Nothobranchius furzeri: one gene and its partners. The main gene of each other region encodes a partner of the protein of the gene in region 3 in a complex. Links are inferred from orthologs where the notes say so. Each region holds a gene or a part of one and is shown on either strand. Other genes may lie near its edges. The genes, in order: lin52, mybl2b, rbl2, ogt.1, mybl1 and tfdp1a.

What was found.
Region 1: rbl2 (region 3) and lin52 share a complex: the UniProt entries of both Homo sapiens proteins name them as parts of the DREAM complex. The link is inferred for Nothobranchius furzeri from reciprocal best matches to the Homo sapiens genes RBL2 and LIN52.
Region 2: rbl2 (region 3) and mybl2b share a complex: the UniProt entries of both Homo sapiens proteins name them as parts of the DREAM complex. The link is inferred for Nothobranchius furzeri from reciprocal best matches to the Homo sapiens genes RBL2 and MYBL2.
Region 4: the proteins of rbl2 (region 3) and ogt.1 are in contact, whole or in part, in a crystal structure (PDB 4XI9), measured with the Homo sapiens proteins. The link is inferred for Nothobranchius furzeri from reciprocal best matches to the Homo sapiens genes RBL2 and OGT. Residues at the interface, in NP_001310537.1 of Homo sapiens: Thr417, Pro418, Val419, Ser420, Thr421, Ala422; in NP_858058.1 of Homo sapiens: His506, His508, His509, Asn567, His568, Pro569, Tyr642, Thr643, Lys644, Gln849, Phe878, Val905, Ala906.
Region 5: rbl2 (region 3) and mybl1 share a complex: the UniProt entries of both Homo sapiens proteins name them as parts of the DREAM complex. The link is inferred for Nothobranchius furzeri from reciprocal best matches to the Homo sapiens genes RBL2 and MYBL1.
Region 6: rbl2 (region 3) and tfdp1a share a complex: the UniProt entries of both Homo sapiens proteins name them as parts of the DREAM complex. The link is inferred for Nothobranchius furzeri from reciprocal best matches to the Homo sapiens genes RBL2 and TFDP1.

The regions. Positions count from the first base shown.
Region 1 is NC_091758.1:32,967,798-32,971,752, forward strand, and holds the start of lin52 (protein lin-52 homolog), read left to right. Parts: upstream 1-1,155; 5' UTR 1,156-1,238; coding exon 1,239-1,257; intron 1,258-2,499; coding exon 2,500-2,574; intron 2,575-2,649; coding exon 2,650-2,687; intron 2,688-2,781; coding exon 2,782-2,848; intron 2,849-3,030; coding exon 3,031-3,114; intron 3,115-3,955.
Region 2 is NC_091743.1:41,543,867-41,546,762, reverse strand, and holds the end of mybl2b (v-myb avian myeloblastosis viral oncogene homolog-like 2b), read right to left. Parts: intron 1,650-2,896; coding exon 1,539-1,649; intron 1,464-1,538; coding exon 1,332-1,463; intron 1,255-1,331; coding exon 1,126-1,254; 3' UTR 501-1,125; downstream 1-500. UniProt on the Homo sapiens protein: Transcription factor involved in the regulation of cell survival, proliferation, and differentiation. Transactivates the expression of the CLU gene.
Region 3 is NC_091744.1:80,493,796-80,497,295, reverse strand, and holds part of rbl2 (retinoblastoma-like protein 2), read right to left. Parts: intron 1,929-3,500; coding exon 1,816-1,928; intron 1,755-1,815; coding exon 1,648-1,754; intron 1,520-1,647; coding exon 1,382-1,519; intron 1,022-1,381; coding exon 863-1,021; intron 589-862; coding exon 480-588; intron 406-479; coding exon 172-405; intron 97-171; coding exon 1-96. UniProt on the Homo sapiens protein: Key regulator of entry into cell division. Directly involved in heterochromatin formation by maintaining overall chromatin structure and, in particular, that of constitutive heterochromatin by stabilizing histone methylation.
Region 4 is NC_091741.1:100,479,913-100,483,412, forward strand, and holds part of ogt.1 (UDP-N-acetylglucosamine--peptide N-acetylglucosaminyltransferase 110 kDa subunit), read left to right. Parts: intron 1-7; coding exon 8-87; intron 88-173; coding exon 174-369; intron 370-458; coding exon 459-599; intron 600-675; coding exon 676-776; intron 777-894; coding exon 895-1,048; intron 1,049-1,179; coding exon 1,180-1,281; intron 1,282-1,364; coding exon 1,365-1,562; intron 1,563-1,840; coding exon 1,841-1,999; intron 2,000-2,092; coding exon 2,093-2,182; intron 2,183-2,316; coding exon 2,317-2,442; intron 2,443-2,549; coding exon 2,550-2,720; intron 2,721-2,812; coding exon 2,813-2,929; intron 2,930-3,114; coding exon 3,115-3,285; intron 3,286-3,456; coding exon 3,457-3,500. UniProt on the Homo sapiens protein: Catalyzes the transfer of a single N-acetylglucosamine from UDP-GlcNAc to a serine or threonine residue in cytoplasmic and nuclear proteins resulting in their modification with a beta-linked N-acetylglucosamine (O-GlcNAc).
Region 5 is NC_091747.1:51,688,069-51,691,568, reverse strand, and holds part of mybl1 (myb-related protein A), read left to right. Parts: intron 1-87; coding exon 88-308; intron 309-384; coding exon 385-574; intron 575-655; coding exon 656-730; intron 731-989; coding exon 990-1,100; intron 1,101-1,567; coding exon 1,568-1,807; intron 1,808-1,892; coding exon 1,893-2,237; intron 2,238-2,339; coding exon 2,340-2,464; intron 2,465-2,535; coding exon 2,536-2,650; intron 2,651-2,725; coding exon 2,726-2,842; intron 2,843-2,943; coding exon 2,944-3,048; intron 3,049-3,216; coding exon 3,217-3,405; intron 3,406-3,500. UniProt on the Homo sapiens protein: Transcription factor that specifically recognizes the sequence 5'-YAAC[GT]G-3'.
Region 6 is NC_091754.1:25,783,838-25,786,795, reverse strand, and holds the end of tfdp1a (transcription factor Dp-1), read right to left. Parts: coding exon 2,882-2,958; intron 2,543-2,881; coding exon 2,421-2,542; intron 2,332-2,420; coding exon 2,166-2,331; intron 2,081-2,165; coding exon 1,934-2,080; intron 1,854-1,933; coding exon 1,785-1,853; intron 1,705-1,784; coding exon 1,553-1,704; intron 1,474-1,552; coding exon 1,307-1,473; intron 1,008-1,306; coding exon 929-1,007; intron 852-928; coding exon 713-851; 3' UTR 501-712; downstream 1-500. UniProt on the Homo sapiens protein: Can stimulate E2F-dependent transcription.

The DNA of each region.
Region 1 (3,955 bases), on a different chromosome or scaffold from region 3:
ATAGATTTTTACAAGACGGACTTAGTAGAAACTCTTGCTCTATTTTTTAAAACACTTGTTTCGTTGAAAGAATGGAGAATGTGCGCCCTCTGCTGGCAAATAACAGAACAACACAGGTTTCCAACTGCATGCAGACAAGAAGGGAGTATTTGCTGCCCTCTAGTGTCTGAAATTTGATACTGCACATCCGATTTTTAAATCCATTTAGAAGGGAATATTTAGCCTCTTTAGATTTTTCAAAAATTCAATCACATATAGTTGCTAGCTCCGCTGGCAATAAATAGAACGACACTCTAATTTCCAACTGAAATCTGGTACTGCACGTTCCTTTTAGACATTCTGAAGAGAATATTTAGCCTCTTATTTTAATAAAGCTTAAAAAAAATCCATCTCTGTTTTAACTGCTAATAGCCCCAGCTATAGCTAATAGCTAAAATTTTGTTGTACACAGAAAAATAAAATAGATTTGCTGATTTTTAATTTTTAAGTAGTTTGTACAAGTGAACTAGGCCTGGGACGATAACAGATTTTGCAGGACAATATATTGTCCAACAAATTATTGCCAATAAACAATATTATTGTTGACATTATCGAGACCAAAATAATCACTTATATAATTTTAATATATCATAATAATGCAAGTACACCCTTTAAAATGCAGCAAATAAAACTCTTGTTAACATTAGAATGTTCAGAATCGAACTTCTAAATAAATGAATAAAACAAACAAACAAAAAAAAGAAATAAATAAAACGGACTTTCACTCACTGTTAGAAAATATTGCACCAAAAACCATAAAATAGATCCTGTATTGGGTCATCAAAGAAAAAGGGTTGGGAACCACTGACCCAGACTCTTCGAACTTGGACCAAATTGTTGTACACAGATAGCAAAATCTGTTCAACATAGATTGTGATATGTAAAACCACAGATCTATTTGTAAAAACACCGATTTTCTTTTCTTTCACAAATGTTGGAATGAAATTGTGTAAAATTGTACAAAATGTTGAAATGTATCTTGCCTGGCCATGGAACTCGCTGTGTGCTTAGCACCCCTAAACCTCTGATGCTAGGATCGCCCCTGACACTTATTATAAAATTATTAGTTTATTCATTTTACCCCCAGGAACACGGCTTTGGTGTGTAAGAGTGACCTCTTGTGGTGTGTTTGTGAATTTACAAGGCTTTGTCAACATTGACTCCTATTCGTTGTCACGGGTCACGTGATTATTGTGAAGATGGCGTCTCCGAATGGAGGTAAATTTTAATTCCTTACACAGATACGCTGTTAAAAAATGTAAAATTTAACACTTTAAATCACACAAATTATTCCACGAATGTATTGATGATGTAGCTGAACACCCAGAATTCAGAACTACACATATCAGCGTTGTAGTCCGACTTCTCGGAGGTGGTTTTGTTTGACTGAAGGCTCCACTAGCCCCGGTGTTGTTAGTCCACCAACGTTCAAGGAAGAACAGTAGACAGCTGGCTGCAGACCTTCCGTAACTCCTGATATTTTAAATACTACTAGCTTTTGAGTTGCCTCTTTGTTAAATACTGGCCTAATAATTAATATTTACGACATTTTTCCAACATTTTGAGGCATTATTTGTTTCACATCAACATATTTTGAAAGGTTTTTGAAAGGTTATATATATATATATATATATATATATATATATATATATATATATATATATATATATATATATATATATATATATATATATGTACACACACACACACTATGTAGGGTCATGTATTAGGAAGCATAATGCTAACACAAATTGTTACACTAAATATTGGTTTTAAGAATAGTTTTTGAATAATCAGCACACAGTTGTTGTCACAGCCTAGCAGAAATGGTTGTATAGGGACTTGAATCAAGCAACATTTAAAAATGAAAGGTATGATAAATAAACTAAACCTCCCAAATATTAGTAATTTTTTTAAGAACAGCTGATTAATCAGTATTTATCTTGTACACATATTTTGTTTTAATACAGCCAACATATTGTATTAACTGTTGTGGTTACATTTTGACATTTGTTTGGCTGTAGTCATATGGGCCATTCCCATCTGTACCGGGTCGGTCCGGGCCGGGTAGCGTTGGTTGTTTACATATCTGGGTGGCCTGGTATTTTTCCGGACCAACCAAGGCTCATTCTCAGCCCTCTTCTCGAGGGGGTCTGCTTCAGGCCGACCAGGGCCAACACACCCACTGCTGACAGCAAATTCACACCTTCCATTAGAGCAAGCCTCTGATTGGTGGGTAGAATCAGCCCACATGGGCGTAAGACAAGGATGTGTGGAATCAACCGGGCCAGGATGGGGCCGACTGGGGCTACCCGGCCCGGGCCGACCCGGTACAGATGGGAATGGTCCATAAGTCACACATTTTACTTGTATTTACATCAAGAAGATCACATTTTGTTCTAAAGCTCTGAAATTTCTGCCTGAATTCTGAACATAATTTTACTTCCTTTTCTTTGCCAGGTGATGATTTTGAAAGCTCTTTGCTTAGTTTAGAAAAGCTGGACAGAGCGTCACCAGACCTGTGGCCTGAGCAGTGTAAGTTTTCATCTCCTCTGTGCTTCTTTATGGTCCCACAGTTTAACCTTATCTGTCCTGTCATTTCTCACACAGTACCCGGAGTTGCAGAATTTGCTGCATCCTATAAAAACGTAAGATACGTTTTTTGTCATTAACTGAGATTAATACATTAAATAATCATTTAGATTTGGCATTGCCGTATAATATCATTTATTTTTATTACAGCCCATTACAAGCTCACCCCCTAAGTGGATGGCTGAATTGGAAAGCGAGGACATCGAGATGTTAAAAGGTTGGTACAATTGTTTTTTTTTTTAATATATGTTTAATTAGAAAGATTTTCTCTGTGCCTGCAGCGTTTCATGTTAAAACTGTTGTACTGGTTAGTGTTTCCATAAATATATAATCTTGTCAAGGAGAAACTGAGTTGATCAAACTGGAGCTTAAAATCTTTGCCTTGTAATCACTCTGCAGAGCTGGGTAGTCTGACAACAGCTAACCTGATGGAGAAGGTCAAAGGACTTCAGAACCTGGCTTACCAGCTGGGTTTAGAGGAGTGTAAGTACAAAACACACAAACAACATGAAAACATAGGCTGTGATGTGTTCGTGTAGTTTTTAGTTTTCCCAATCAGCTGTTTACGTCTATCACCACCAGGTGGTGCTAGTAGCCTTTCCACTACTACGTTTAGTTGCAGAATCAGATTTACTTTTTGTTTGTTCAAAATAGGCTAAAATCACATGGATGTTATTTATTATTCAAAATCAGAGTAGATGTTATTGAAAGTGCAATTGTAATTTAGAGTCTGCATAAAACAGGTTGGCCGTAAGATCTTTAAAACAAGGATTTAGGTCAGTCTTGTTAAATGTAAACAAGTAAGAAATGAGTGCATGCCACCAAGAGCTCACACAAGCAAATGCTCAAGAATATGATGGATGCACAAGCTCTTGTTTTAATCCATTCCCTCCCGCCTCCATTGTAATAATCCTTCTGGAGTGTGGATTAGAGAGATGTAGCTAAGTGCTGATATTATCCTAAAAGAAGATAAAAATGTTTTTAATGTTTCTAGCGTAAGAGAATCGTTGTACACCTCCTCTTCAGCGACATGTGTAAATAAACTGAAATGGTAGCAAATTGTGTAAAATAATGTGAGTTTAAACAGCAGGGTAGATGGCAGCCATGATGTCGGTTCTTTAATGATAATAAATAGTTTGTAGAAGGTTTAATAAAACTTTAATGCCACTTTAACAAGAAAATGTTCATCTATAATAAAAAAATCACCCCAGAGTGATCTACATTTGGTGGTAAAGCAAATCAATATTTTAATGTTGCAGAAATCAGATTGATTCATTTTGTGAAATAATTAATTTTAGAAATGATTTGTTTGCCTTGCCTCCAG
Region 2 (2,896 bases), on a different chromosome or scaffold from region 3:
ACACGTTAAATTAAAATTGGGGGTGCAATGACTAATCCAGGGGTAGCTATAGCGCCACCACTGGTTCTTCAGTGAAGTTTAGATAAGAACAACTTTATTTATCCCGAGGGAAATTCTTGTGTCATGTACATGCTCAAAGCAGCTCAAGTTCTTAAAATCATCTAATGTAACTCATACGTGTAACACTGAACAGATGTTTTAAACAGAGTAATTCACTAATGAGATTTTAGGCTGTTGTTACCATGCCCATGGTTGCAACATAAAAGCAGCATTTCAAAATAAAAGCAGGGTAAAAAGATAGTCAATTCCTGATGTGGCAATTTGTTTTATCGCAGATCCAAGTTCATCAATGTTCTGGGAAATAAACAGAATCAAATAGACCACTTTGCACTTTTGTATTTTTAACCACATCCATTTCAAAGCACTCTGTTATTGTTTTGTTAAGTCTGATTTGATAAATAGTTGCTGATCTAAAGTTACATTACTCAAATTGAATTATCTGGCAGGAATCATATATTTTATTTTATCAGTTTGCCATCCTCTGTCACTTGGTTGGTTTTACTGAAGCCTTTAAGCAGTTAAAGTGTGGAAAAATAATAGAACAAACATTCTGGAAAAATAGATGTTTTCATTAAACCCATCTATTACATGAGTGAGATAATACCCAACTCTAATTATATTTACAAATATTGCTAAATAACAACGCATTATGCAAACAGTGGTCAGAACAGGTCTTCTACACAACCTTTACTGTATAAAAACAGGTCACATTTTTAAAATATTGATAAGTTGCTGTTAGGGTTGCAGTGGGATGTAATTTGTGAGACTTGAGGTTTTAATTCTACTTATGGTGAACATGTTCTGCAGTAAAACTGATGTGAAGATGTTTCCTGAGGGTTTTTTTTTTTGTTCACAACAGTACAAAAACACTTTCCAGATTCATAAAACCACAATTTTTACAAAATGTTACAATCTTGATTCCTTGTTTTTACATTCAAAGTTCTTTTCTAACATTTGAAATCAACAATGATTAGCCTACATCTAGAAGCACCACACTCTCAAACGGGTCATTTCTTTGAACCCTGTAGTCGCCGGTCTCTGCCCACGTTGGCGTGGCAACCGAACTCAGGACAGAACCAAAGCCCGGTTTGGAGCGCTGCGTTTCAGAGAGCGAAGGTAGCGCCTTGCTTTCTCCGTCATTATCAGCTGATCTTTAGTTTGTCCACAAACGACTTTCTCCCACTCCCTGGACATCTGTGGAAAGAGAAACCAGCTTCAGATCAGAACTACGTACACTGGTGCTGAGGTCATACTGGGAGGGGATGACTTACAGGAAGTGGAGGCAGTGAACTGGGAAATATGGCGCTGTCACTTGGCCCCAGCAGGAACCCCTGGTCCAGAATGCTTTCATGTCTCCTGCTCCGGAACGATGAGGAGTTGAGAGGAACGGTGACGGGTTCCTCCTGTGAGCAGGAGGCAAAAACATCAGAACTCACATCTACAGACGACTGAACCTTTTGTTTATTTACACATTCCACCTTGATGGTGCGTCTGGCCTCCATCTTGCCGGATTTGCGTTTGGATGGAGGATTCACCTCCATGACGTCCAGGGCCAGCGACTTCCGCACCTTCTTCATCGGAGGGCGATGCTGCAGGCGGGGTGACAAATCAAAGCTACAGTTACAGTTCCAGATCAGCTGATCACAAGTTTATCCTGTGGTCTGATGCATCTCCAGTCTGGAACCACCTGTTCCTCCTTGTGAGGAGCTGAGGACTAAAGATCCAGCTCCACTTTAGCCAAACTCATGAAGACATTCCAGGAAGCTTTTAGTTTGGTGCAACGAGACGAGGCAGCAGACCCGTGGGTGAGTGTTCTGTAACAGAGCTCAACGGCGTTTTAGAAGACTCAAGAGAACATCTGCAGAACTCGGCTGTACCGCTGCTGACTGACACCTAGAGTCGGGGTGGAGTCCAGGAGCTGTACGCATCAAACGTTCGTAGAATATTTCTAAATTCCTGCTCATACGAACGCAGATGGCTTCTCGTTCCTCCTCTATCACCTGATGATAAATCTCACCTGTGCTCGTGTTTGTTCACCATCATTTACATACAGAAACACCCTCAATTAACCATATTTGGTCACACCGTGTCTTCAGCTCATGAGAGGAATCCCTGCATTCCTCCCCAAAAATTTATAAACGTGGGCCAGAGGAGACATCCTGTCACTCTGCTGTCATTTACCGTTGACATCAAAGAGTTGTCTGCATGTTCGGTTTGGAAACCTTTGTTGTCCGAGTGCAGCCTCCTCTGAGCTGCCACTCAGTCTGGTTACCACGACGACACGCTGCGTATGACGGGGCAGCAGAGGAGGTTCTGGACGGGTTCTTCTCTTAGTTGTAAACAACTGAATGTGCTAGAGTCGGATGTGTGTGGTCTGTAACCACGACAGCTCCAGAAGGATCCCTTTCGGGGAGATCCGTGCGCTCACGGAGGACGCGCCGGAGTGCACATTCTGCCAAATCCTCAGATAACACAGATCAGCCATGCTCCTGTCAGTCACAGGTGTCTCTTACAGGTTTTGGCGCCAGTCGGGCGCGAAAAAACTGATTTTCCACCGCTAGAATTGTTTATTGGGTGAAATAATTCAGAGATGAGGAACATGTGTGGAGTTCTACCACTAGATGCTGCTCATACGCATGGACCAAGCCCCCACAATGCTGCTCTAAAATTTGAGTCCAACCCGGAAATACCAAAAATTGCAGTTCCACCCTCATCCACTAGGGGCTGGTGTCAGAAGCGAGCAAATCCTCATTGACTCCCATGTTAAAAATACCAATTTCACAGCAGAAATAAACATGTTCACAGCCTGGTACCAAAACATGTTTTTGGTTTAAAT
Region 3 (3,500 bases):
GAGTGCTGGTCAGGTTCTGGGCAGGGAGTGGCTGAAGTGTGGCCCCGCCCACTTGCACTGGGATGAAAGTGAATCCTCCATTCTCATTGGGTATCCCTACAAAGAGGTCAGAGGTCAGCACATAGTTACAGGTCACCTGTTGTAGTTAACTCATTGTTTTGAGTCCCTTACCTTGCACAGGTATAGTCAGTGTCTGCCCGTTGTTGGCCGTGACGGTGGCGGTCGCCACTACAGTCTGCCCCGCCGGAATGGTGGCAATGAGGCTCGGCTTTGTGACGCTGCTCGGTGGTGTTCTTGTGGCGCTGGTCTCACCCTCCGTCGGGTCAACAAACAGACGGCGACGAAATCCACCTGTGGGGGGGGAGCCATACCGGTCCTGCAGGGTGGTGGGGGAGGGGGACACGCCTTCAGAAGACGGAGGGGCAAATTATTTCTACACAGAAACACAAAAGAGTAAGACAAGATGGCTGACAAATCACCTGTGATGGTGCTGTTGGTGCTGAGGTCTGGTCCCTGTGAGGCTGGAGTGAGGGCAATGCCAGCCCCACCGCTGTCTTCATTCTGTTCCAGGTACTGAGGAGGCATCACCTGAAACGCAGACGCACACACACGTGCACACACACACACACACACACACACACACACACACACACACACACACACACACACACACACACTGATTGACCCACAGAACTTTCAGAACCACTGAATTTTATTTGTGAGCAGCCTAAAGCCTCCTCATATCTCTGAGACTTTGGTAAACAAAAGGTTCTGAATGTTTCCAACATCATCTGTTCAGTAAGAAGATGACATCATCTCTACAGGTGAAGTAGAACCAGGTGCTGTTTGTGTTCTCATGGACCTCCTGGCAGGTCGGGACTTGGGCTGACTGGAGACTGTGCCACAGCGGGGAGTTGCTGGTCCAAGCCAGGCTCTCCAGAACCTGCTCCTCCACCTGGTTCAGGTGCTTCACGACCTCCCGAAACAGACCCTGTTCCGACCGGACCAGCACCTCAATCACCTGCACACACACACACACACACACACACACACACACACACACACACACACACACACACACACACACACACACACACACACACACACACACACACACACACACACACACACACACACACAGTAAACGTGAGTTTTTATGAGTATTAGTTCGTTCATCAGATGATGAAATAGTTGTTATTATTATTATTATTATTATTATTACAGTTGTTATTACAATTATTGTTGTTTATATTATTGTTGTCTTGAGCAGTGTCTGGCAGATGCTGCTGACTAGTGCCGATAGCTGAGATGAAGCTCAGCATGCTGCTTCCTGATTGGCTAATCTGGACTCAGTCTGAGAACGGGTCGGGCCAGCTGGTACCTTATAGAAGTGGTAAGCAGGAAGCTGGAAGGTGTGGATGACTCTGGGGAAGTCTCCTGGAGGTCTGTAGGAGAAGGTAACGATCTCCAGGCAGCAGGCCAGCAGGGAGCGGTGGAACACGTCCTGCTCCAGAATACACTGCAGAACCAACAGGGGGTATGGTTCAGTGCAGTCACAGCTGGTAACCATCACACACAGAACCTCCCCGGTCCAGACCAGACGCCCTGGGTCAGGAGTCCAGACCTTGAGACCAGAACTGTACTCACAGACAGGTCAGCGTCTCCCAGGATCATCTTTTCTCTCTCAACGATGGACTCCAGGATCCTGTAGTACAGCGCCTCGCTCAGGTGGAAGAACTTGACGGCCATGTCTGCTGGACAACACATGGTCAGGTGGGACAGCAGATCAGCTGATCACTGGGCTCAGGTCCTCACCTTTTTCCATCCCCTTGCTGTCATCAGTGCTGTCCTCATGATGCTGTGTGAAGATGTCTAACATGTCCTTCAGGCGCTGACTGATGACATCACTGGGGTCTCTGGAACAGCCCCTGGAACCGAAACAGCCGCACTCCAGACTTCCAGTCAATGTAAATTGTTAAAGGTCAGAGGTCAGGCTTAGTCTATCAGAACTGGACCTCACCAGAACCTTAAACCGGCTTCACCAAACCAAACCTGGAAAAGCAGCAAGTTCACCCTAAGGTCAAAGGTCAACACTCAGTTTCAGGGAGGCTAAAGGTCACAGCAGCTCAGATTGGTAGCATTTTACCTGAACAAACCACGGAGACACCAAGGTGGATGTGTTTACCCACAATGCACTGCAGCAGAGACAGCTGTTCCCAGCTGTCAGCACGGTCAGTGGTGGAGCTGACCTCTGACCTTTAGGCTTTACAGAATGGATGCCTAACCTCTGCACCACTGTAACACCTGTGCACATCCTCAGAAAAAGTCCCACAAGATAAAACGTGGCTTACTCATCAGGCACACTCCCTCACCGGTGCCGAGCTGGCCGTAATCCACAAGAATCCACAAGTTAGAACCTAAACGGACCTGATATCTGACCGAACTGTGCTCTAAGTCTAGACTCTGGACCTCTCTCCCCCTGAGCCTGAGATCAGTGGACTCAATGGTCTCCTTTAAAAAGCAGCTGAAGACTCACTTGTTCAAGCTGGCTTTTGTATGACCTTCTTCACCACTCTCTCTTTATTCTGCTCTCCCCACCTATTCCACCTTCCTCAGGATCCACTGATTTCCCTCTTTCCTATTCACTCTCTCTCTTTCTTAACATTTTTTTTAATTACAATTGCCTATTTTTGCTCATTTTAATATATTTTTAAACATTTTCTAAATGCTTTTTTATATTTTTACATATTTTGTTTTTGTGAAGCGCCTCGTGATTTTTATCTTGAGAGGCGCTATAGAAATATTTTCTTCTTCTTCTTCTTCTTCTTCTTCTTCTAAGTGCAGCCCTGAGACTAAAACCTGAAGCTAACAGGTTAGCTAAAGGCTGATTCAGCACGCCCATGACTGGTTGGACGGACGGATTTCCCCGCATGCCGCGCTCTTTCTGACATGTTTAAAATGTAACTAACTTATCGGCTGTATCTGACACTGTCAACCACGGCTTCCTTTGGTCCGCACTCTCTAGCATGGGCATCGCAGGGAAAGCACACTCCTGGCTTGAATCGTACCTGAAAGGACGATCTTTCAGTGCATCTTGGCTCGGACAATTTCTGCTGTTCACCATCTTGCCACAGGAGTCCCCCAGGGCTCTGTACTAGGACCTCTTCTCTTTGCCATATACACCACCTCACTAGGTGAGATCATTCAATCACATGGCTTCTCCTACCACTGCTATGCTGATGACACCCAGCTCTACCGGCCATTCCCGCTGGACGACCACAGAGTCTCTGAACGAATCTCAGACTCTGACATATCAAGATGGGTGAAATCCCACCATCTCCAACTCAACCTCTCTTACACTGAATTACTTGTCATGCCAGCGAAACCATCCATACGGCACAATATCTCCAAAGTGATTCCCTTTAGACATGGTGGGGTGGGAGTAATGAGGTTAGCGGATCAGAACCTGACACCTGAGGGTTCTCTTAGTCCGGTCAGAA
Region 4 (3,500 bases), on a different chromosome or scaffold from region 3:
TTTACAGGCAGTGACTCTGGACCCAAACTTCCTTGATGCATACATTAATTTAGGCAACGTTCTGAAAGAAGCCCGCATCTTTGACAGGTGAGTCTAAAATTTCACTCAAAACATTGAAAACATCAGGCTGTCCAGTTTCAGTCTATCTGAAAAGACTAATCGTGATATTTCAGAGCTGTGGCTGCGTATCTGAGAGCCCTGAGTCTAAGTCCCAACCATGCAGTTGTTCATGGAAACCTGGCGTGCGTCTACTACGAGCAGGGCCTCATTGACCTCGCCATCGACACCTACCGCCGTGCTATCGAACTGCAGCCTCACTTTCCCGACGCTTACTGCAACTTGGCCAACGCCCTAAAGGAGAAAGGCAATGTATGGAACGCCTTTCTGTTCTAAATAAAACAGCTTTTAGTTATTGTCAGTAGTCATTTATAAAATAGTTTTTCTGAATGTTTTTTAAGGTATCTGAAGCAGAAGAGTGCTACAACACAGCTTTGCGCCTGTGTCCAACTCACGCGGACTCCCTCAACAACTTGGCCAACATAAAGCGTGAGCAGGGCAACATCGAGGAGGCGGTCCAGCTCTACAGAAAAGCCTTGGAGGTGAGTTGACTCCAGTGCTCCTGTTCTTGTTATTGGGTTTGCTACACTTGTGAGCTCTAATGCTGTTTTTCATTAGGTGTTCCCAGAGTTCGCAGCAGCTCACTCTAACCTTGCCAGCGTGCTGCAGCAGCAGGGGAAACTACAGGAGGCCCTCATGCACTACAAGGAGGCCATCAGGTCAGTAGCTACTGACCACATTCTGTTAACTCTCACAACAGATGCATGAGATAGTCTTAAACACACGATTGTTAGTCAGTTGACTCTAGAGCTTAATCTTCGTCTGTAACGGTTTCAGAATCAGCCCGACATTTGCTGATGCTTATTCCAACATGGGCAACACACTAAAGGAGATGCAAGATGTACAGGGAGCGCTGCAGTGCTACACTCGTGCCATCCAGATCAACCCGGCCTTTGCTGATGCTCACAGCAATCTGGCCTCCATCCACAAAGTAAGAATAACCCTTTTTATTTGTCTCGGGCATGTATCGCATCAAAACAAAACCTGAACTCATTACTGAAAGTTTTAGACGTTTTCACTGTTTGTGCAACTTTTAATTAACCTTTTGAATGTGTTGATTAGGATTCTGGAAACATCCCAGAGGCCATTGCATCGTATCGCACAGCCTTGAAACTCAAACCAGACTTCCCTGATGCGTACTGCAACTTGGCACATTGCTTACAGGTTATTATTTTTTTCACTTCACGCCTACGTGTGTAAAACCTGGAGTAAATACTTGTAATCTCATCATCTTGCCACTTTCTCAGATTGTGTGTGACTGGACCGATTATGATGAACGGATGAAGAAGCTTGTGAGCATCGTGGCCGACCAGCTAGAAAAGAACCGCTTGCCCTCGGTGCACCCGCACCACAGCATGCTGTATCCGCTGTCTCACGGCTTCCGCAAAGCCATTGCCGAGCGCCACGGCAACCTTTGCCTGGACAAGGTACTCGCACTGATCAAAGCAAGTAACGTTTAAATTACTCTTTTGGGTGGGTGTGAGGTGGTTGGTGATGGCAGGGCCTGGTTGCGGGGATAGGTAAGGGATGAGCACCACTTATAATGTTTTACTATGAGGATAAGAAACTAAACAGCTGGTGGTTACTGGGCTGCTTATGGTGGGTGAGGGTTTGGCTCAGGGATTAACTTTTTTGGTTAAACAATAAAACTTTATAACAGTAATTTTGGCGTTAGATTCTCTCTTGCTTTGGTTGTAATCTCATATTGTTGCCCGTTCCACAGATCAATGCACTACACAAACCAGCCTATGAGCACCCGAAGGACCTGAAGGCCAGTGGTGGACGCCTGCGGATCGGATACGTCAGTTCTGACTTTGGTAACCACCCAACTTCCCACCTGATGCAGTCAATCCCTGGAATGCACAATCCTGAAAAATTTGAGGTAGATTCTTGTTTTAGTTTTGTTCAAGAATTCAACATTTACTTTGTTTTGTTTTGATGTAAACAGTGGTTTAAATCTCTGATGTGTCTGCAGGTGTTCTGCTATGCACTTAGCCCTGATGACGGTACCAACTTCCGTGTGAAAGTGGTGGCAGAAGCTCATCACTTCACAGACCTCTCCCAGGTATCTTCAGTGACTTTGAGCCACATGACTTATTTTGCAGGAGTTTGGTGAAAACCCAAAAATAATTTTATATTTATTGCTTTTAAAACAAAGCACATAATTTTTGCTGAAGCTCTTTTATCTTTTGACTCCAGGTTCCTTGCAATGGGAAGGCTGCTGATCGGATTCACCAGGACGGAGTCCACATTCTGGTCAACATGAACGGATACACCAAGGGTGCCAGAAATGAGCTGTTTGCTCTGCGTCCTGCCCCCGTTCAGGTGAGCTGCTGCTCACAGAGCTCTGGAACCAACCTAGCAGCCAACCCCGTGGTGCTGATGAGTGTCCTAGTCAGCTGCTGTAAACTCGCCTTGCTTTCATTTACCAGGCTATGTGGCTCGGTTACCCTGGGACCAGCGGGGCTGCCTTCATGGACTACATCATCTCAGACAAGGAGACGTCACCTGTAGAAGTAGCTGAGCAGTACTCTGAGAAGCTTGCCTACATGCCCCATACCTTCTTCATTGGAGATCATGCCAACATGTTCCCTCACCTCAAGGTCTGACCTTCCTTCCAGTGCAGAGAGACTCAAGTTTGTGTTTTTAGCTGTTTGTTTCTTAAACAAGAAACAATGTCTTGTTTAACCCACAGAAAAAAGCCGTGATTGATTTTAAGTCAAATGGACACATCTTCGACAACAGAATTGTTCTTAATGGTATTGATCTGAAAGCCTTCTTGGACAGCCTCCCAGATGTTAAAGTGATAAAAGTGAGTAAAAGCATGACAGTAAGTGTTTGATCAACCTGCAGTCACTATTTCACTGTTAACCTGTGTTGCTTGAAAGGGCAGAAATAAAAACTTTAATCTGACTCGGGAGAAGACACATGTGGCCTTGTTTTAAGAAACACTTTGAAAAGTTTAAGTTTTATGGATAAGCCGTTTTCTGTGACCAGATGAAGTGCGACAACAACCAGGAATCTGCTGGAGACACAAATGGAGCTTTGTCCATGCCCGTGATTCCCATGAACACAGCGGCAGAAGCCATCATCAACATGATCAATCAAGGCCAGATCCAGGTCACAATCAACAACTTCACAGTCAGCAACGGCCTGGCCACCACACAGGTACGATTCATGTGGACACAGCAGAATCTCGATGGCATGGACCAAAAGTATGCTCATGTAGGAAGTCAAAGTTTATTTTGCTGCTTTTTAGGTCTTTTTTTCTCACTTTCTTTTCTATTTTAATTTGTGTAAAACCATAAAGGATGAATAATAACTAGAAATATGATGCAGATCAATAACAAAGCTGCAACTGGGGAGGAGGTTCTACGCACCGT
Region 5 (3,500 bases), on a different chromosome or scaffold from region 3:
TTTTATTACAAGTGTTTACATAGAGCCTAATGAGCTTTGTTTATGCCCGGGCTATTTATAAATGCTTGTGGTTTGCTGTTGGTGCAGGTGATCGACTTGGTTCACAAGTATGGCCCCAAGCGCTGGTCCGTGATCGCAAAGCACCTCCAGGGAAGGATTGGGAAGCAGTGTCGGGAGCGTTGGCACAACCACCTGAACCCGGAGGTGAAGAAGTCTTCGTGGACTCAGGAGGAGGATCAAATTATCTACGAGGCTCACAAACGGCTGGGCAACCGCTGGGCAGAGATCTCCAAACTCCTTCCTGGACGGTAAAATAACACCATAGTGTTTTTATTTTCTTTCAGTCAGTAAATTTTAAAAGATGATCAATCCTTCCCTCAACAGGACAGACAATTCCATCAAGAACCACTGGAATTCCACCATGAGGAGGAAAGTGGAGCACGAGGGTTACCTGCAGGACGGCTGCAAGGCTTTCACCTCCAGTGGTGTCAAAAGACGTCACAGTAAAGCTCCAACACCAGCAGAACCCCCGCTATGTGACCGCAGCCCTCTTCCTGTGCCTGGGCCCAACCAGGTCTCCTTTCAGCCTTTACACTAAGAGGTCCATTGGCTTCTTTCATTTCTGCTCCTTTTCTGAGTTGCTGTTGTGTTACAGATGGCTGGATTTTCATACGATCCTGCCAGCGGACACATGATGGACAGCCTCTCTGAAAACCCCGGCTTCATGCTAGTGAGTCTTTCTATTTAAATCTCTTTTCACTCCTTTTATTCTCCTATCTCTACTGTTGTTGTGGTGATTGCTAACTTCGGACAAATCAAGCTAATCAAAAACTTGACTGTCCTGTTGTTTTCCGCTATCCCCGAATAATCGATTTGTGTCTAAATTTGTTTTGTTTTCTCTCCTTCACTAAAAAAAAACTTCTCAATTCTCCACTCTTTTTTTCCCCCTTCCTGTTTTCTTTTCCTACCCGGCCGTTTGTTTACTCCAGCCGTCCTGCCTGGATGATCCTGACAGAGAGCAAAGAATTAAGGAGCTTGAGCTTCTACTTATGTCAGCAGAAAGAGAAGTCCAGCGGCAAATGCAGTGCAGAGGTTCCTGTGTAAGAACACACTCCAAACGTGTGTTAGCAGACCTTGTTAGCATAGCCTGCGTGTGTCTGTAGCTCAATTACACTGTAAAAAAGCTAATTTCATTCAAAAAATACACACAATCACTAAGAAATCATTTAAAAATGAACATTTTTGTTGCTTATGAACTTTTTTGCAGTGTATACCCATGAAAACAAGAGTGGTGTGCATTTATTTGTGCCTATAGGCTGGTTTGCTATAGTGTTGCTATAGTAACTACTTTTCCCATCTTGCTGCTCACTCATCTTGCCCTGCGGCTGTGCTGTGTTGTCACCCCACCTCCTGCAGAAACCCCTGTAGTTCTGATCACTCCTTTCATCAACACTGAAACTTTTTCCACATCGCATCCTTAACTTGCTGCTAGTTTCATTTTGGACCAAAAAAAAAAAAAGTCCATCTGCGTCCTCAACACCAGTTGTTTTTCTGGCGACCCCCTCAGGGTGTGGATCCATACCCAGCCTGGTCAGACGGTGTGTCTGATGACGTCTTCGCCACAAGCAGCAGCAGCCTAGAAGAACCAGTGGAGAGGGAGCCCTGGAGGGGTCCAGAGATCTCGCCGGGGCCTCCGACACAGCTTCCTGTCTCCCCCAGTAAGTTCCTGTCTGTAGAGGCCAGCGCTGTGCTCTCCAGCCTGCAGACCATCCCGGAGTTTGCAGAAACCATGGAGCTCATCGATTCAGTGAGTAAAGAAAAAACAGGATTTTAAAAAACAAATCAGTTGTACATTTAAAGAAAAACTTTGACTGTAGATGTATTTTACTCAGCAGGATCCCGCTACGTGGAACAATGCGGCCGCTTTAGACTTGCCGAACACAACGCCGCCCCTCAGACAAAACCAAGCAGGCTACGCAAATCCCTTGCAAGAGAAGGCCGTTTACAATCTCATAGATTTCACCGCCAATGCTCCCAGTGTCGTCTCAGGCAGGAACGCTGCTCCTTTTGGTTTGGGGGGCGGCATCAACCCATCGAAACCCACCCAGGCATCCATCGGGAAGAAAAGGAGGAAAGACAGAGGGGAACCTCTGTGTGAAAGGATCTGTTCATCTTTTTTGGAGAACATCTCACCCAAGAAAACTCCCACAAAGTCGCAACATTTCACGCCATCGCGAGTAAATGAGCGCTGCTCTATTGTCTTCAAACCTCAAACCAGAATATTGCATCTTCCTACTGCCGTTGTATCAGTCATGCACCACATTTGTCTGTCTTGTCAGCTCTGCAACACATCAGGGATGGAGCACCTGAATCTGGATGATCCCACCCTGACGTCAACCCCCGTGTGCAGTCAGAGGTGCATCCTCAAAGGAGCTACGCCTAACCACCAGAAAGAGAATGATGGGTAAATAAGTGATCATTAAAGCTAGATTGTGCTTTTAATAAACTCTTACTATAATGACAACACTTGTGTAGTTCCAGGACTCCAAAAGTTCGTAAAAAAGCCGCCGTTCTAACCCCGAGAACTCCCACTCCCTTTAAAAACGCTCTGGCTGCTCAGGAGAAAATGCATGGCCCGCTGAGGTTGGAGGTAGGATTTGTTTTGTGTGTGGTTCGTTATATTCCTGATCAGTTTGCGTTGTAGTTTACATTCATCCTGTCGCAGCCACAGCCTTTGGCATTTCTCGAAGAGGACATTCGAGAAGTCCTGAAGCAGGAGACGGGAACGGACATCTTCCACAAAGCAGACTTCCAGCTGGACCACCGAGCGTGGAAGCACCATGTGAGTTTCACTCCTCAATCAGCTGTTTTTTGTTCTGTTTAAAAAAATAATTGAACCAAACCGGAGTGATCTAACACTGACAGCGACTCTTCTACATTTAGATGGACGGCCCGGCTAGAAAAGTGCGCAAGTCTCTTGTTTTAGACTCTTGGGAGAAGGACAGTCTCGATGTCCAACTCTTCCAGGAGCAACTCAACAATGCACTGGTAAGTCACTTAGGAAAACTATTTTTGTGTCCGCAATATAACAAGAATCATTAATAGCAAATAAAAGCACTGAGGTTTGTGTGACAGAAAATCTTCACTTTGATTGACCGTTCTGTTATAAAAGACTAAAACGTAAAAGTTTGACAAATGCCTGATGTCATATTGCAGTTGTCGGAGTCTCTGCTGACAAACTCTTCTTCACTGGTCGACCCTGAGCAAGAGAAACGTGGACAGGCTTTGCCTTCTAAGAAAGACGGTCCCTCTTTAGGAGTTCGCAGTCACGCTCAGCAGTTCTCTAGCCCTCCTATCAAGAAGGTATCTTCCTTGATTAAAGCACCAAAACCCGCTCACTCACAGGTGTGTATGAACAAAACATCAAATATTTTATTACAATCTAAAAGTTTCTGCATCCTTCTTGAAGTGTGTTTCTGTCTAAAAGTTATAAAGATCTC
Region 6 (2,958 bases), on a different chromosome or scaffold from region 3:
CTCTAAAGGACACTATGAGCTACAATGGTGGTAGGATTTATATGTAATTAACAAAGCTGAATTACCTAGGAGCTTTACCTCGCTTCAGCCGTTTATTTGTAAACACTACCAAAGGCGTCAACAGGGTGGTGATGGGACAGCTTCTCAACTCCAGAATACAAAAAAAAAAAAAAAAACATACTAACAAGATCAGAAAGCAGCTGCCTACGAAACATACGGAAGCCAACCCAACGCAATGGGAATAAGAAACTATTTCAAACCGCCCCAACAGCCATCAGGATCCACGGCGCGCTAACACAGCAGACATTAACGGAACATTTTGATCATAATATCCATCGTGACAGTAAAATAATAACTATTCAAACAAATACACTTTACATTCTCCAACAGCAACAGCTTTTACAGAGAGCGGAGAGTGGGATGGCTTGTTGAAAAAGGATCACAGACGACGGTTCCCGCAGATCGTAGGTGTGGTGCAGGAGCATGTGAGTCAGCGGGGGGGTGGAAACAACAAATAAACAGGAAAATATAAACAAACAACTCCTCTGTTCTTTCAGAATTCATCTACACCCCTGAGAAGACCAGACAGAAACACGAGCGTGGACGGGGGGGGGCTTGGGAAGGAAGCACACACACACTAAAAGGGACCAGATCGCCGCTGTGACTGCTGTTTGGAGGACTGTGCTTGTTGGAGTGGGGACATGTAGCGCGGTTAGTCTTCATCGTCGTTCTCCTCGTATTCATCCTCATCATCGTCGTCCCCCATGTAAGACACCGGGGTCTCCACGCGAGAGCCGCTGTAGTGAGAGTCGTTGGAGCTGGACGCCATGGTGCCGTCGGTGCAGCCGTCACTAGAAACGGAGAAACCGGGTTAAAAAGGGACCAGGTTGAAACGGGAAACGTTCCCATCTTAGGTACGACTTCCTACCTGCTGGCAGTGTAACGAGCGCCGTTGGCTGAGGATCCTCCTGTGATGTACACGTTACTGATGGGACCTTTCGCCATCTCTGTGAGAAGGAACCATATTTAATGTAGACGTCCAATCGTTCCTGAGTGAACACAGACGCTTCACTGTACGTGTCAGAACCTGCAACATGCTGCTTGACATGTTTAGACCTTTCCTAACTATTACTGCAGCTTCGGGACAGAGGGAGGGCTTCCTGCAACCAGAAAAAGCTCCTTTACCCCAGGATTACTGAGGGGAGGAGGTCCCTAAACACATATCAGGCTCTAAAAGAGACAACATCTCAACGTTGTCCTGAAGCATCAACAAAAACCCTGGCCGTTTACACCATGACGTACGAACCGATAACGTAAGGCTCCAGAGCTTTGGGCACCAGGCTGCGTGCCACCTTCAGGTCCTCTGCTGAACACTTCCCCACCTCCAGACCACAGGCCATGCCCATGCGCTTCAGCACCTCGATGTCATCGTGGATCTCAAACATGCTGTCGAAATTGAACAAATACTCGAACCTGGAGACGGAGAAAAAAAGACGCACAATAAATTGGGGCTAAAATTCTCCAGTTCGAATGTACGCAGATGATCACGTACTTGTCATTAGAGATGCTGCAGTCGATCACCGTCTTCTTGCTAGTGTTGACTATTATGAAGGGAAGGTGGATGATGGAGTTAGGAGGCGGGGGCCTGTTTGCTTGCTGCTCTGTCTGTCGGTTCCTCTGAACGAGGTTCTTAAAGGCTATTTGCTGTAAAATATAAAACATTTAATCAGACAAATGCATCTTTAATCGCTGAGGTGTTGGTGAAGCTCTATCGCCATTCCCACCTGAAGTATGAGCTCCTGAAGCTGTGACTGTTTCTGCTTAATCCTCTCCAGTCGCCGTTGTCTCTCCACCTGGAGGCATGACGGAGATAGTTGTTCAGAACGGCTTGTTACGTAAAAAGAAGACAAAAGCCTTTGATTTGAATCTCCACCTCTAAATTTTGGCACTCCTGAGCCGAGTTAGTGGGCAAGCCGATCCACTTGATTTCTTTCTTCTCTTTCGAGATGATGTTCATGGCCATGAGCACGTTCAGCGCATCGTAAACACGCCGCCGAATGTTCTTCTGGTCGTATACGTGCTGGGATGGAAAACACGTGGGTCAGCGTTAAAAAAAAAAAAACGTCTCTGAGTTTTGTGTGTAAAATAAAAGCTGCAGCGCTCACCGAGTCATTCGGCGACATGTGGTTGTCTGAAGAACTGAATTCTGCCACCAGCTCGTCTGCCACCTCATTGTAGGTGGTCACTCCCTTCTTCTGCACCTTCTCACACACTTTCATGGAGAAATGCCTCAAGCCTTTCCCATTCTTCTCCCCCTTCTTACCCCGTTTTCTGTTTACAGAACAAGTTACACATAGTTTGCTTCTAAAACTTGTGTAAAGTAAAAGAAATAAAAACGACTGAACTATTCGAGGTCTTACCCTGATGACCAAGGAGAAGCATCAGCGGGTTGACTCTGAGTGAGGAACTGAGAACTTGGTGTGTGTGGACTGTTTACTAAAATAGTATTTGATACTGTTGGCCTCTGAGGGGTTCCAATAACCTAAAGAGAGCAGAGGATGAGACAGTAAGACAATAACGTGCGTGCAAATACATCTGATGAATGATCAAAGCAACAATTTGTCCCAAATTAATAATAATCTGATGTAGGAGACAGGTGATCTGTAAGCTGATTTCCGTTGTGTATACATTTCTTCTACATAATGAGATGATGGGTGTAATCCTGCTGACTGTAGAGTTGATAAGCTTAGGATCAAGTGCCTCCACCTCCCAGCAGTAATGGGAGGGGGCTTACACAACAGCAAGGAGGTGTGGACAAAAGCAGCATGCAGGACATATGTAACCGTTCTGGAAAAGTGTCAGACAGAGCACACGCACTCACCATGTGTGGCAAATGTTGCATGTGTGTGGCAACATTAACGTTAGACGGCCCAAGGGTTTTGGGTAGTAGCTGCTTGG